3 linked regions of the Ovis aries genome follow. The protein of the gene in region 1 binds, or shares a complex with, the protein of each later gene. Links are inferred from orthologs where the notes say so. Each region holds a gene or a part of one and is shown in the gene's direction. Other genes may lie near its edges.

Region 1 (4,652 bases):
CAGTGGGGGTCTCAGCCCAGGGTGGGGGGCGAGGAGGGCAGGCTCTGACAAACATTTCAAAGTGCCCCAGCTCACTGGCTCGCTTGGAGCAAAGTCTGAGTTTTTCCCTTTCTCGCTGATCCGTGACGACTCGGTGCAGCCTCCCTGCTGCAGTGCAGGGCCTCGCAGGCCTGCTTGGGCAGCTAAGCTACTTTGCAGAGCTAGATGCCAGGCAGGGACCCTGCACACACGACAAGCCACTGCCTGTGGCCAGCACCAGCCGGGCCCACCTTCCTGGACTAGTGCAGGGGAAGGGGCTGGTCCCCTAAGCTCTTCAGGAACTATTACTTTGACATGCTGACTCACGCTTCAGGTCAGGCTCAGGACTGCAGCTGCAGACCACTCTCAGGGTATGGAAAGACTCATCCCTATGCCAGCGTGCTATCTACCAACCGTTTCACCCCCAGATTAAGTGTACCGTGAAGTGCCCTAATGCTGCAGCACGCCAGGAAACGGCGCTGTCATGAAGTACACGGTGAAGAGCAAGCACAATCTCTCTAGGTAGAAATGACCAGGGGTTGCCCACAACATCCATGGGCTGGAGAGCAAACGAGGGTAAGAACCTCACTGAGAAAACCAGAATCGAGAGAGGACCCGTGGCCACAGCGAGAGAGACTGTCCATGGCGAACATTACGAAAACATAACGCAAGCGTACTGTTTTTGAAATGATTGATTAAAAGTGTGACTACATGCAAGTTAACTGTTTTTTTTTTTAATAAGTTTTTTTTTTTTTTCCCCTCCAAACAAAATTCAAGGAAAAGTACAAGCATTTGTTCAGCCAGGTGTACCTATCTGTGGTTGCCCAGAGACCTGGGCGCGGCCCTCGTGTCTCCACGCGGGTCTGTGAGCTCCTGGGGCCAAGGCACCAAGGCAACAGGCGCCAGGCCAGCGCGGTCTCCACAACAAGCCGCAAGCCGCTGCCGGGCAGGGCCCCGTCCTGCTCCGCCCGCCCCGCGCCCACCTCTCTGCAGCCGGGCGCCGCGGCCCCACGCGCTCGCCCACCTGCCCACGACCCGTGCGGGCCTGAGGACCGAGGAAGGGGGCAGGCGGCCTCCAAAGCTCAGGGGGCGGGCCAGGCGCCGCCGCCCCTCGGCCCCCGATCCCCGAGGGAGTCCGTGTGAACGGCGCCGAGCCCCTCCTCCGCTCCAAGACTCCGCAAGATGAGCCTGGCCGCCCTCTAAAAGGCGCACAGCGAGGCCTGGGCCCGCGCGAGGGCCACGGGGCGCGCCCCGCCCGCCTGCCCGGGGCTCGGCCGGCCCCCGCAGCGCCCCGCCCGAGCCCGCGCCCGCGCCCGCGCCCGCGCCCCGCCCGCGCCGGTCCCCGCGGCACTGCGGCGGTTACCAGGACGCCGGCCCCGCCAGCCAATAGCGGAAGGCTGTCGGCGTGCTCTGAGGAGCCAGCCAATGGGAGCACAAATCAATCATTTGAAACAGCCAATGGTCAGAAGACCGCAGAGCGAGGGGGGGAACTTGGATAGGGAGTGCAGAGGCCGCGACGGACCAATAAAGAGCGAGCGGCGCCGCGAAGGCGGGCCTTGGGCAGCCCGATTGACGGGGTTACAGCCAATCAAACGAAGCCGCCTGCCAGCCTCGCTCTGGACGCCCAGTAAGAGGCTGGCGGGGGCGGGCGCGGCGGGTATATAAGCGCCGGCGCAGCGTCGGTTGTAGCACTCTGCGCGCCCGCATTTCGGCATTCGTTCGGCTCTTTCCTCCGCAGCCGCCCCCGCTGCAGCCGCCGCCGCCGCCATGAGGGAGATCGTGCACCTGCAGGCCGGCCAGTGCGGCAACCAGATCGGCGCCAAGGTGAGCGGGGACGTCTGGGCCGGCGCGGGTCCTCCGGGCGGGGCGGGCTGGCGGCGGGAAAGATGGCGGCATCCGGCGGGCGGCGCCCCCGCATTGCGGCCCCTCGCGGCGCCGCAACCGGGGTCAGGGCGGCGGGCAGCGGCTGGGGTCTGTGGGGACGGCCGGGCGGCGGGGGAAGGGAAGGCCGGGCCGCGCCGCGCCGCGCCGTCCGGGGCGGGGTCGGCTCCGGGCACCTCCGGCGTGACTCAGCCCTGGACCGGCCCGCCCGCGTCTCCCGTAGTTTTGGGAGGTGATCAGCGACGAGCATGGCATCGACCCCACCGGCACCTACCACGGGGACAGCGACCTGCAGCTGGAGCGAATCAACGTGTACTACAACGAGGCCACCGGTGAGGCCCCGCGCCCCTTCCCCACCCCCGTGCCGCCCCGCGGCCCTCCCCTCGCTGACGCCCTCCCGCCCCCCAGGTGGCAAGTATGTGCCCCGCGCTGTGCTCGTGGACCTGGAGCCGGGCACCATGGACTCTGTGCGCTCGGGGCCTTTCGGGCAGATCTTCAGGCCGGACAACTTTGTCTTCGGTGAGCCGCGGATCGGGGTGGGTGGCGGCCGATAGACAGGACGGCGCAAAGGTCAGGGGGTGCCCAGTGTCGCCATCTTCAGGACTCGCAGAGCCGAAGTTCTGATCCACTCTGTATCCTCAGTAGAAGCTGGGTTCCAGGACGCCCTCCTCCTCTCAAGAGTTAGTCAATCCCCTCACCTAAAGCGGCTTTGCCGAGAAGGCCCAGCTGTCTGCCTGCCGGGAAGGAGCAGGCAGATGTAATCTCCCTGCCGGGAAGGCTGAGCTGGAGGCAGTGGCAGCTCGTCTGCTCTTGGGAGTTGGCAGAGGCTGCCCGTGGGAGGGGCTGGTTTGTTGTTGAACCGTGTTAGCGGGTTTCCTCGGGTACGTCGCTACCGTATCCGTCTGGGGGCCTGTCTGCTACACCCGCGGGGTGGGGTTGTGCGTCATCCACACGGTGTGTCGTTTGGCCTTTTTGGCACGAGTGATCAGTGGTGAGCACACGCCTGGCTGAGTAGCAACCGGCTGCCCTCTCTTGCAGGTCAGAGCGGTGCCGGGAACAACTGGGCCAAGGGACACTACACGGAAGGGGCGGAGCTCGTCGACTCGGTGCTGGATGTCGTGAGGAAGGAGGCGGAGAGCTGTGACTGCCTGCAGGGCTTCCAGCTGACCCACTCCTTGGGTGGGGGGACTGGGTCTGGGATGGGCACCCTCCTCATCAGCAAGATTCGGGAGGAGTATCCAGATAGGATCATGAACACCTTCAGCGTGGTGCCCTCGCCCAAAGTGTCGGACACCGTCGTGGAGCCCTACAACGCCACCCTGTCCGTGCACCAGCTGGTGGAGAACACGGACGAGACCTACTGCATCGACAACGAGGCGCTGTACGACATCTGCTTCCGCACGCTGAAGCTGACCACCCCCACCTACGGGGACCTGAACCACCTGGTGTCGGCCACCATGAGCGGGGTCACCACCTGCCTGCGCTTCCCGGGCCAGCTCAACGCCGACCTGCGCAAGCTGGCCGTCAACATGGTGCCCTTCCCCCGCCTGCACTTCTTCATGCCCGGCTTTGCCCCGCTAACAAGCCGGGGCAGCCAGCAGTACCGGGCACTGACGGTGCCCGAGCTCACCCAGCAGATGTTCGACGCCAAGAACATGATGGCCGCCTGCGACCCGCGCCACGGCCGCTACCTGACCGTGGCCGCTGTCTTCCGGGGCCGCATGTCCATGAAGGAGGTGGACGAGCAGATGCTCAACGTGCAGAACAAGAACAGCAGCTACTTCGTGGAGTGGATCCCCAACAACGTGAAGACGGCCGTGTGCGACATCCCGCCGCGCGGCCTGAAGATGTCGGCCACCTTCATTGGCAACAGCACGGCCATCCAGGAGCTGTTCAAGCGCATCTCGGAGCAGTTCACGGCCATGTTCCGGCGCAAGGCCTTCCTGCACTGGTACACGGGCGAGGGCATGGACGAGATGGAGTTCACTGAGGCCGAGAGCAACATGAACGACCTGGTGTCTGAGTACCAGCAGTACCAGGACGCCACGGCTGAGGAGGAGGGCGAGTTCGAGGAGGAGGCGGAGGAGGAGGTGGCCTAGAGCGGCCGGAGCCAGAAGGCTGAGGCCGTGGGAACTCTTTATTCACTCACAGCCCGCTCTGATAGTCTGTCTCACTGTGTGTGTGTTCTTTCCTGTCTCGACATCGCGTGCTGTACAGCCACCACCATTAAAGCGTTTTCATAGTGTCTGGCCACGCCTCTCCAGTTCCTTCCGATAGGCCCTGCGGGTGCTGTTGGCGAAGGTCAGTGCGTAGTTGTCCTGCATGGCTGCGAGGGGGATGCTGCCGCTGAGCCCCTGGGCTCACTGCGCGCATGGGGAGCGCGCAGGGCTGCTGCGGGGGCCGGGGGCTGCCTCCCAGAGGTGGGCCCAGCCTGTGCACAGGAAACCCCCAGGAGGCCAGCGTGTGGTCTGCAGGCACTTGGCCTTTTGGCTTTTAGTCAGGGTTGTCAGTGAGCCCCTTCCGCACTGGGGAAGCGGAGGCACTGAGGGAATTTTGGGTTATCCTGTCCCAGGGGAACCTTGCCTGAGGTTAGGCCTGGCTAAGAGGGCCCAGCCCCTGGCCCCGCCCCTCAGTGGCCTGTCGCCACGACCTCTTCCAGGAGGGGCCCCCCCGCACTCACATGGTATGAAGCCCATGTAGAAAGGGATCAGGCCCTGGCTTCTGTAGACGCCGTTGCTGGGCCAGTGTGTGCT
Region 2 (4,795 bases), on another chromosome or scaffold:
TCTCCTCCAGGAAATCTGTCTTCCCTTGACTGTGTAGCTGAAGAATGACTCTTTGCACAGATAGTGATAAATGGTAACGTTTGCTTTGAACTGGGACAGTCTGGAGAAAAAACGAAAGGTAGTTCTGACAGAAGGAATTGCAGCCCTGGGGGCAAGGCAGTGAGAAAAAGCGGGAACCTGAGCCGGCCAGGTTTCAAAAGCTCGAGTGTCTGTAGGGCATCCTGCAGCCTCAGCTCAGTGCTGCCCGCCAAAGGGACTGCTGAGCCTGCTGATTCTAGAGGGGCTTCCCTCCATATCACAGTGTTCCATTTTCTTCATAACACTCTTCACTCATCTTGTGAAATGACTTTATTCACTGGTTTACTCGATGGTTATCTATCCCTTATTGTGGTTGTTTAGTTGAAAAGTCGTGTTCGACTCCTTTGGGACCCGGTGGACTGTAGCACACCGGGCTCCTCTGTCCCTGGGATTTCCTAGGCAAGAATACTGACCCAAGGATCGAACCCAGGACTCTTGAATTGTGGGCAGATTCTTACCAGCAGAGCTACCAGTATATGTAGTGATGTATATGTAGAAGCCCCTAGTATCTGTAGAACATGACAAATATTCAAATACATATTCATCAAAACTTAAAAGAATTTAAAGAAAATCCCGTATGTAAGTTTGAGTTTGCCACATTATTTTAAAATCCAATATTCCCGGCTTCTCTGGTGGTCCAGTGGCTGGGAGCCCATCTGCCATCGCAGATGACACCAGGTTTCACGCCTGGTCCGGGAAGGTCCTACATGCCTCTGGGAGGCTAAGCCTGAGCCACAGCTACTGAGCCCTGGAGCCTGCGCTCTGCGACAAGAGAAGCGCTCCCGGTGAGAAGCCCTCGCATCGCCACGGGAGAGTAGACCCCGCTCACGGCACCTGGAGACGCGCTGCGCACAACGGAGCCGTGCAGCCAACGATCCTAAATAAATCAAAACTTCATCATGCATTATTGCAGAACTCAGTCCAAGCTTCAATATATTTACTTGAAATGCTCTTTAAAGTATAGTTATTGAAGTGTGCTGCTGCTAAGTCACTTCAGTCGTGTCCGACTCTGTGCGACCCCATAGACGGCAGCCCACCGGGCTCCCCCGTCCCTGGGATTCTCCAGGCAAGAACACTGGAGTGGGCTGCCATTTCCTTCTCCAGTGCGTGAAAGTGAAAAGTGAAAGGGAAGTCGCTCAGTCGTGTCCGACACTTAGCACAGACTGCAGCCTACCAGGCTTCTCCATCCATGGGATTTTCCAGGCAAGAGTACTGGAGTGGGGTGCCACTGCCTTCTCCGTATTGAAGTGTAAGTCACACTTTTAAGATGGTCCTTACCACAGCTGCCAAACACAACTTCACGGATTTTTTTTTAAAGGAGTTCTTAAGCACTGAGAGAACTACATGCAGTTTGCAGGTGCTTTCACAAGCCAGGACGCGAAACTGGTGCTCACCACCAGAGAGGGCTATTAATTCCTTGAACACCAGTGAAGTCAACAGGCCCGCAGCGGGGAGGAGACCCCTGGCTGAACCCACCCTGAGGGGACCGCCTTGTGAGATGTTGGGCATCATCTGCTCTAGAGCCCAGAACCACATATTTCAAGTAATTTTCTTGCCTTTCAGTCGACTAAAGAGGGGTGGAAGGAGAGGGTAAGAGAGGAGGCCAGGATAAGGGAGTAAGAAAGAGGAGAGATGGGGGAGAAAGAGGAGGGAAGAGATGGGCGTGGCTCGTGCACAGAGCGGCACTCCAAGCCCCGCCCCCCGTTTCCCAGGTAACCGGGTAAACAGACCTTGTCTCCTCTTCCCTGCGAACCCCGCTAGGTGTTGAAAGGGCAGGGACTCGGGGTGGAGATGTGCTCTTTTCTGAGAGTGCCGTCCCCCAAAGGGTTGGGGCCCTCCAAGGGGTTAGGAGCTCCCCTCCAGCCCGGTACAGCTTACCCCTCAGAGAAGAGTGCCCTTGGACCAGGAATGACGGTGGCTGGGAGCAAATCTCCCCTGAGCATGGAGGTGGGACTCGGCCCGGAAGGAAAGGATGACTTACAAGAGAGGAGAGTCTTCATGGGAACATCTCCCACGGAGCTGGGGCTCAGAGTGGGCTTAGGAGAAGATTTCCCATGTAGTAAGGCATATGAGGAGAGGATGGCATCACCAGAAATAAGATCTCCATCGCGCAAGGGGCTTGAACTGAGGTTGAAAAGACAGAATATTTCTAGGACCTTCGTGGATGGGAGTAATTTAGGAGTCCACGGGGTCTCAGCCTCACAGGAAACAAAACTTCCTCTAAGTGCGTTGCCTGGAAGAGTGGGTTTAGAAAAGGAGCGTTTTCTGGCAGGGTATTGTCCAGAAAGGGTAACACAGCCTCCACTGGGCCAGACGTGTGGAAGTCCACAGGCTTCAGGGGGCAGGAGATGTCCTGTGACTGGTGACCCGGAAGGGTTCGTGGTGCCAGTGGGCAAGCTACCTGCTTTGGGGATGGAGCGTAGAGGGGCACTGGGAGGAGAGTCCGCCTGTGTGGTGATGAAGCCCAGCGCAGAGACGGCGCCTCCTGTGGAGGTGGATATGGGGCTCACCCACCCAGAGGAGCCCCAGATGGGCTTGGTGATAGAACCTTCTGAGTGCCAGCTGGCCCAACAACCTGAGGAGCAAAGGGCGGCTGAGAACACTCAGCCGGGAGTAGAGCCTCCAGACCCCATCAGACCCATATACTCCGGGAAATTTGTTGATCGGATGCCTTGCTGGCCAAGTGTAAGTTTTTCCTAACACTTTCCCCCTTCTGTTTTGACTTACATTCCATCCCTCAGTCTGCGTCTTCTCAATCTCCTTTCTGAAGTACGTGTTGTATCCTAGTATTCATGTAGGTTTTTTCAGAAACATTTTTCTTTTTCCATTCATTATTCTGTGACTTGTTTGTCCTTTCAGTTAAGACTTGTGACTATTATGCTGGGTCCAGGGCACTAACAATTGAAAAGCGCGTGGTCCCTACCCTATGGGTTTAGGTTGTCACTCCAATGTTGAAGACGATAACTAAACAAATATTATATAGATGTCTATATGAGTAGAAAACAAATGTGATTCTTCCTTAATAGAGGTACACTGTAAACATGGAGCTCAATGGAAAATTCAGACAGTTTTGTTTGGAGGAGATGGGAGGTCTTTACAGAGCCAGTAGTACTTGAGCTTGTTTAGAAAGGTGTCGGGGCACTTCCTTCGCAGCCCAGTGGTTAAGATTGCAGTTCCAGTGCAGGAGTCATGGGTTCAATCCCAGGCTGGAGAATTAAGATCCTGCACGGACTGTAAGGAGATCAGACAAGTCCATCCTAAAGGAAATCAGTCCTGAATATTCACTGGAGGGACTGATGCTGAAGCTGAAACTCCAATACTTTGGCCACCTGATGGAAAGAACTGACTCATTTGAAAAGACCCTGATGCTGGGAAAGATAGAAGGCGGGAGGAGAAGGTGACTACAAAGGATGAGATAGTTGGATGGCATCACTGACTCAATGGACATGAGTCTGAGTAAACTCCGGGAGTTGGTGATGGACAGGGAAGCCTGGCGTGCTGCAGCCCATGGGGTCACAGTTGGACATGACTGAGTGCCTGAACTGAGTCCTTAAAAAAATGTGTCAGTATTTGTCAGATGGGAAATAGGATTGAGGCACCTTGAGCCGAGAACGGCATACAGCATGGCCAAAACTTCTTTTGAGTTGGGAGGTGTAAGCAATTCTGTTTAGCCAGCATAGTGGTAGGAGATGAGGAAGAAATCGAAAGGTCCACAATGCGGGAGTAAAACCTGTGGGTAGAGGGCAATGGTGGGTCTTCATGAGGGAGGAAATACATACAATTTGCTTTTTGTAAAGATATAGATGTTATCAATAATAATGGTGGACTGGAAGGGAAAGATATTGGATAGCTAGGCTATTTCAAGCTAATGATGGCCTGAAATTAATGCAGAGTTAGAAAGAATGGATAGGAAAGAGCCATTCTGAGAAGCTTTTAGGAGAGGATATTGTCAAGAATTGCCATCCGGTTGTGGATCTATGTGGTGAAAGGCAGGGAAGTTGATGGACAACTTAGGATATTCTCCGTTGATAATGAGACATCTTCCTGTTTGGTGGCCCATGAGTATCTGGGGAACCCTTGGAGCTTGTGGTCCTGAGTGTGAGATGTCTGCAGGTGCCAGAGGAAACAGCCAGGGAGACAGCCGGAGCCGTGTGTGGGGGTGGGACGAGCAGATCTGGGCAGGAACCTTGGGGAACATGTGAGACTGTCAGAAAAAGGAATGTCAGCTAGGTAATTATTTTATTTTATTTTTTTATTTTTTAAACATTTTGGCCTTGCCATGTGGTATGTGGGATCTTAGTTCCCCTACTAGGGATCGAACCTGCTCCTCCTCCAGTGGAAGCGTGGAGTCTTAACCACTGAGTCACCAGAGACGTCCCAACTATGCGAGTTCTTGAGGACAAGGATTTTCTCGTATTTATCGCATAGCTTCATGGCATATCACAATGCCCAGCTTATAGTGGCCATTCAGTAAATATATGTTGGATAAATAGGAGGAGGGCTGGATGAGCGAGTGGGATAGAAGGAAAAGGTGAGTTGAAGAAGGTGGTATTGAGGACCAGAAAGGGAGCATCCTTAAAATGTTCCGGGAATAAAGGGGAGACCAGAGAATGCCGTTTCGCTGAACTGGTCACAGGGATTCTGCAGAAGTTTCTCTTCTTGCGTCTGCAGACTTCTGTTCCCCTTGGGGCTCAGGGCGTTCTTTTGCCTCTGACCC
Region 3 (4,517 bases), on another chromosome or scaffold:
TGACCAACCTAGACAGCATATTAAAAAGCAGAGACATTACTTTGCCAACAAAGGTCTATCTAGTCAAAGCTATGGTTTTTCCAGTAGTCATGTATGGATGTGAGAGTTGGACTATAAAGAAAGTTGAATGCCAAAGAATTGATGCTTTTGAACTGTGCTATTGGAGAAGACTCTTGAGAGTCCCTTGGACTGCAAGGAGATCCAAACTAGTCAATCTTCAAGGAAATCAGTCCTGAATATTCACTGGAAGGACTGATGCTGAAGCTGAAACTTTGGCCACCTGATGCGAAGAACTGACTCATTTGAAAAGACCCTGATGCTGGGAAAGATTGAAGGCAGGACGAGAAGAGGATGGAAGAGGATGAGATGGTTGGATGGCATCACTGACTCAATGGACATGAGTTTGAGCAAGCTCTGGGAATTGGTGATGAACAGGGAAGCCTGGTGTACTGCAGTCCATGGGGGTGCAAAGAGTTGGACATGACTGAGAGGCTGAACAGAACTGAAAATAAGACTACAGTGTGGTGCTTCTTTAAAGTGAAGCCACTTAGTTGTGTCTGACTCTTTGTGACCCCATGGACTGTAGGCTACCAGACTCCTCCATCCATGGGATTTTCCAGGCAAGAGTGCTGAAGTGGGCTGCCATTTCCTTCTCCAGGGGATCTTCCCAACCCAGGTATCGAACCCGGGTCTCCTGCATTGCAGACAGATGCTTTACCATCTGAGCCACCAGGGAAGCCTACTGATTCTTTAACTTAACCATACATTGCAAGGCATCTTCCTGTGTCAGCATTTTTTAACAGCTACAAGGTATTTCATCATATGATATGCCACAGTTTGTTGAGCCAGCCCTCCATTGGTAGATATCTAGATGGTTGGTTCTTGATTTTTTGGCTTAATGAATAAGCAAAGTCATTGTCTTTATCCCATTGGACTGAGCTCTGTTGGGAAGGAGCCCTGGTCTAGCCACTGATGCATTGTACTAATAATTCCAGGTCAGTGCTCTGAATGTAGCATATGCTTGATAGAATGACTGTGGAATGAATGAATGAAGATGACCTGAATGAATCATATTTATTAGCATTCTTCCTGGAAGCCCCTTAGGCAAAGGGGCAGACAGGCATTGAGTAGAGCCCAGTGGTAAAAGAACTGAATCAGAGTGGATTTAAATCTCAGATCTCCACATGTGTGACTTGAGGTAGCTACTTAGTCCCTCTTTACTTCAGTGCCCTCATCCATAAAATGGGTACAGTTATGGCACCTGCTTCATAGGACTCTTTGAGGGTTAAACAAGTGAGTACATGTAAAGGTCTCAGCATGGGCCTAGCACGTCAGCGTTCATTAAATGGTAGAATGTGATCATCTCAGCTCATCTAGGTATAAAAATGCAACATGCATGATACCTCTTGGTAACCAGGAAGTTACATGACATGGAAACCAGGTCCTTCTGGCTCCTGCTTTTGTGGTGACTGCTGTTGGTTTGATTTGCCTTTTTAACATCAATTTTGCTTCTGAGGAATCAGCTGCCCCCTTAAGGAGAGTATTTATACTCACAGTCTATCACCATGGAGATTGTCAACAGTAGGGAATCCAAGATCACATCACCTCTTTCTGGAGGCTGAAAGTGGACTCTCAGGGCCCTTTAATCCTGCAAATTTAGCTGGGTGTCATCTACATTCTGACTGCTAAAAAGAAAAAAAGGCACCCCAAACTCAGCAGCTTCATAACATCTCCCACCCCGAAAACTTAAACTGTGTCAAGGCAAAGAAGCTTGGGACAAATGCAGTTTCTTACTGCCGTAAGTCCACAGTCATCCTCCACGCCAAGTTGGAAGATTGAGACCAAGTATTCAACAAGAGTGCTCACTGGAAACTGGACAGAAGAGAGGAGGAAGGTAAGAAAAAAGAAGGTGGACAGAGGGCTCAGAAGGAGACCTGGCAGGGAGGATGAGTGAAGGCATTGTGTGCGTATGTGCTCAGTCACTCAGTCATGTCCAACTCTCTGCCACCCCACGAACTGTAGCTCGCCAGGTTCCTTTGTCCATGGAATTTTCCAGGTAAGAATCGAGCGGGTTGCCATTTCCTACTCCAAGGGATCTTCCCGATTCAGAGATTGATCCCTTGTCTCCTGCATTAGCAGGCAGAGTCTTTACCACTGTACCACCCGAGGGTATTATTATTTCTAAATCAAGGGCCACAAATACTTAGATCTTAAGAAGGTAGCATTAGGAACTCTGTGCAGAGAGACTCCCTAACACAGAGGAGTTACATTCAAGCAGTCGTCAAAGTCCCCATTTATATCTTGAAAACATCATAGTACAGGTGTCAATAAGGTTGTGCCTTGAAGTTCTATAGTCAGTGGAGTGTTTCTAGGCATCCAATGTTCTTTGTTCCTAATTCAGCCGCATCTTGATTTGAAGAACATCTGCTCTCCCTGGGTTGGTCCTTCCAGATGTATTACCTGCCAAGGCAGGCTTGACACTCCTTGTCTTGATGTCCAGGGATGAACTTCTGCTCTCTGGCACCTGTTCCACAACTTTGCCCTGCCTGTGCATTTCACATTTCACTTTCAAACCAGAACAGGTGTGCTCTTGGTGTTCCTATGTATCTTAAAGACCATCTCAAAATACTTTGCCTAAATTGACCTGCATAAAATTGTGTATCTTCATTTGTGGCAATCAAGACTGGCCCACCTAAGTTTCTGCAGACATCTAGATATCTTCATATCTTCTTGGAAAATAGTCAAGGGAAAGAGGGTGAGACAGAATTGTCAGGTTTGCTGTAAGTGTGGGAAAGGTTAATAGTGACTTCTGAGAACTAGAAAAGGCTCTTTTCATGTGGGAACTTTAGCATTTGTCACTCTTCTGGTCAGACATGGCTTTTGGCCATTTTTAGCTCTGACTGCACTTGTCTTTGTCTGTGGAGTAAGTGTGTGTGTGTGTGTAATCCAAGAGCAAGAAAGACTGGTTAAGCAATCCCATTGAGCTCCTGTATGCAGAGCAGTACCCGGGGAGATTATGGGCTGATCCTACACTGACTGAGAGGAGATTGCATAAAGAAAGCAGAGTTGGAGCAATTTCAGAAAGATGGCACACTAAGAAGTTCCAGGTCCCTTCTTTTCCCATGGAAACACTTAAAAAGCAACTATTAGCCTAATTGAAAGAAATATATGGGAGCTCTGGAAAACAAAGGTCTATAGCAAAAAAAATCAAATGCCCATTTTAGAAAAAGTCACATTCAAAATGGTAGGAAACTCCATGGTGTTTTTACCTGCCCTCCCCTCATTCCTGCCCGAGCACAGCACGGGGCAGCGTGGGAGAAGCACCAGTTCCCAGCTCCCAGTTCCCTCCCTGGAACACAGAGGGAGTGGAGCAACACTGTAACTTGTCTGGAGGCTGCCGGAGGGATTGGTCTCTGTTTTGCTAACTCAGAGCTCAAACAGGAAAAAGTGGGTAGTTCATATTTCAGGCTAGGAAGAGCTTGGAAAGCAGCAGTGGTCAACAGTTAGTGAAAGCTGACAGGGGACTACAAACTTGCAAAGGTCTGGGGATAAGAAATTATGGGTAGAGAAATGCAACAGAACATCTAAGACTCTGAAAAGAAACCAGAGAGAGGCTTCTTGGAAAAATAAAGGAATTTTAAAGCAGCTGTGTATACAAGGAGAAATAAAAAGCACAGATACACACAGACACAGAGTCATAGGCAGGATGCATGCTCATGTTCAGAAAAGTTGGAAGAATAATTAAAACCTTTATATCTGACTGACTCCAAGACTCAGAACATGCCCACTACTTAGTAGAGATCTTTCCTTGTGTGGAGCCAGTCTGCAAAGACCAGGAGAGATGGCTGTTTTTCTCTCAAGTGCTCAAAAAACAAACAAACAAACATAAGACTTAAAAAGAAACAAGAAAATATGGTCCACTCGAAAAAAATTAAGTGGCAGAAACAGTCCCTGAAGAAACACAGGCAGCAGTAGTACCAGAGAAAAACTAAAAAATAAAACAACAACAACAAAAACTTGTCTTAAATATACTTAAAAAGCTAAAAGGAAATGTGGACAAAGAATTGAAGGAAATCAGGAAAATAATATATAAGCAAAATGAGAATATTAATGAAAGATAGAAATTCTAAAAAGGAATCAAACAGAAATGTGTGTGTGTATACTCAGTCGTGTCTGACTCTTTGTGACCTCATAGATTGTAACCCACCAGGCTCCTCTGTCCATGGAATTCTCCAGGCAAGAATACTGGAGTGGGTTGCCATTTCCTCTACCAGGGGATATTCCTGACCCAGGGATCAAAGCCATGTCTCCTGCATATGCAGGCAGATTCTTTATCCCTGAGCCACCTGGGAAGCCCAAATAAAAAAATGGAATTGAAATATACAGTAACATTTATGAAAAAAATTCACTAGAGACATTCAAAAGTGGGTTTGAACAGACAGTAGTAAGAATCAGAAAACTTGAAGATAGATTATTTGAAATTATTGAGCCTAGGTAGCAAAAAGAGGAATGAATGA

The links. Proteins that work in one complex are often made in the same cells at the same time.
Region 2: the proteins of TUBB4B (region 1) and EFHB are in contact, whole or in part, in a cryo-EM structure (PDB 7UNG), measured with the Homo sapiens proteins. The link is inferred for Ovis aries from reciprocal best matches to the Homo sapiens genes TUBB4B and EFHB. Residues at the interface, in NP_006079.1 of Homo sapiens: Asp26, Glu27, Asp31, Pro32, Thr33, His37, Gly38, Asp39, Ser40, Leu42, Gln43, Thr55, Gly56, Gly57, Lys58, Ser78, Gly79, Pro80, Phe81, Gln83, Leu215, Lys216, Leu217, Thr219, Thr221, Asp224, His227, Pro243, Gln245, Phe270; in NP_653316.3 of Homo sapiens: Tyr523, Gly524, Val525, Gly526, Leu528, Ile529, His530, Asn531, Arg532, Tyr537, Arg539, Asp542, Arg545, Ala546, Ala549, Ala550, Arg552, His553, Lys556, Tyr608, Asn624, Phe625, Trp628, Asp630, Lys631, Thr686, Leu687, Leu688, Ser691, Asp692.
Region 3: the proteins of TUBB4B (region 1) and CFAP107 are in contact, whole or in part, in a cryo-EM structure (PDB 9CPB), measured with the Bos taurus proteins. The link is inferred for Ovis aries from reciprocal best matches to the Homo sapiens genes TUBB4B and CFAP107. Residues at the interface, in NP_001029835.1 of Bos taurus: Lys19, Glu22, Asp26, Tyr36, Asp39, Ser40, Asp41, Leu42, Gln43, Leu44, Glu45, Glu53, Gly56, Gly57, Tyr59, Pro80, Leu215, Leu217, Thr219, Thr221, Tyr222, Gly223, Asp224, His227, Leu228, Ala231, Gly244, Gln245, Phe270, Pro272; in NP_001033296.1 of Bos taurus: Thr74, Val75, Glu76, Gly77, Leu78, Tyr80, Lys81, Leu83, Ile84, Thr85, His86, His87, Gln88, Glu89, Gln92, Arg93, Tyr94, Leu95, Ile96, Ser97, Thr98, Asp101, His102, Pro133, Pro138, Thr139, Asn140, Tyr141, Leu143, Tyr144.

The regions. Positions count from the first base shown.
Region 1 is NC_056056.1:702,696-707,347, reverse strand, and holds TUBB4B (tubulin beta-4B chain), read left to right. Parts: upstream 1-1,705; 5' UTR 1,706-1,785; coding exon 1,786-1,842; intron 1,843-2,122; coding exon 2,123-2,231; intron 2,232-2,307; coding exon 2,308-2,418; intron 2,419-2,937; coding exon 2,938-3,998; 3' UTR 3,999-4,125; downstream 4,126-4,652. Other genes in the region: CIMIP2A (ciliary microtubule inner protein 2A), read right to left, coding at 4,137-4,225, 4,580-4,652. UniProt on the Homo sapiens protein: Tubulin is the major constituent of microtubules, a cylinder consisting of laterally associated linear protofilaments composed of alpha- and beta-tubulin heterodimers.
Region 2 is NC_056054.1:278,198,193-278,202,987, reverse strand, and holds the start of EFHB (EF-hand domain-containing family member B), read left to right. Parts: upstream 1-1,837; 5' UTR 1,838-1,869; coding exon 1,870-2,763; intron 2,764-4,795. UniProt on the Homo sapiens protein: Microtubule inner protein (MIP) part of the dynein-decorated doublet microtubules (DMTs) in cilia axoneme, which is required for motile cilia beating.
Region 3 is NC_056065.1:54,064,289-54,068,805, reverse strand, and holds the start of CFAP107 (cilia- and flagella-associated protein 107), read left to right. Parts: upstream 1-1,559; 5' UTR 1,560-1,780; coding exon 1,781-1,894; intron 1,895-4,517. UniProt on the Homo sapiens protein: Microtubule inner protein (MIP) part of the dynein-decorated doublet microtubules (DMTs) in cilia axoneme, which is required for motile cilia beating.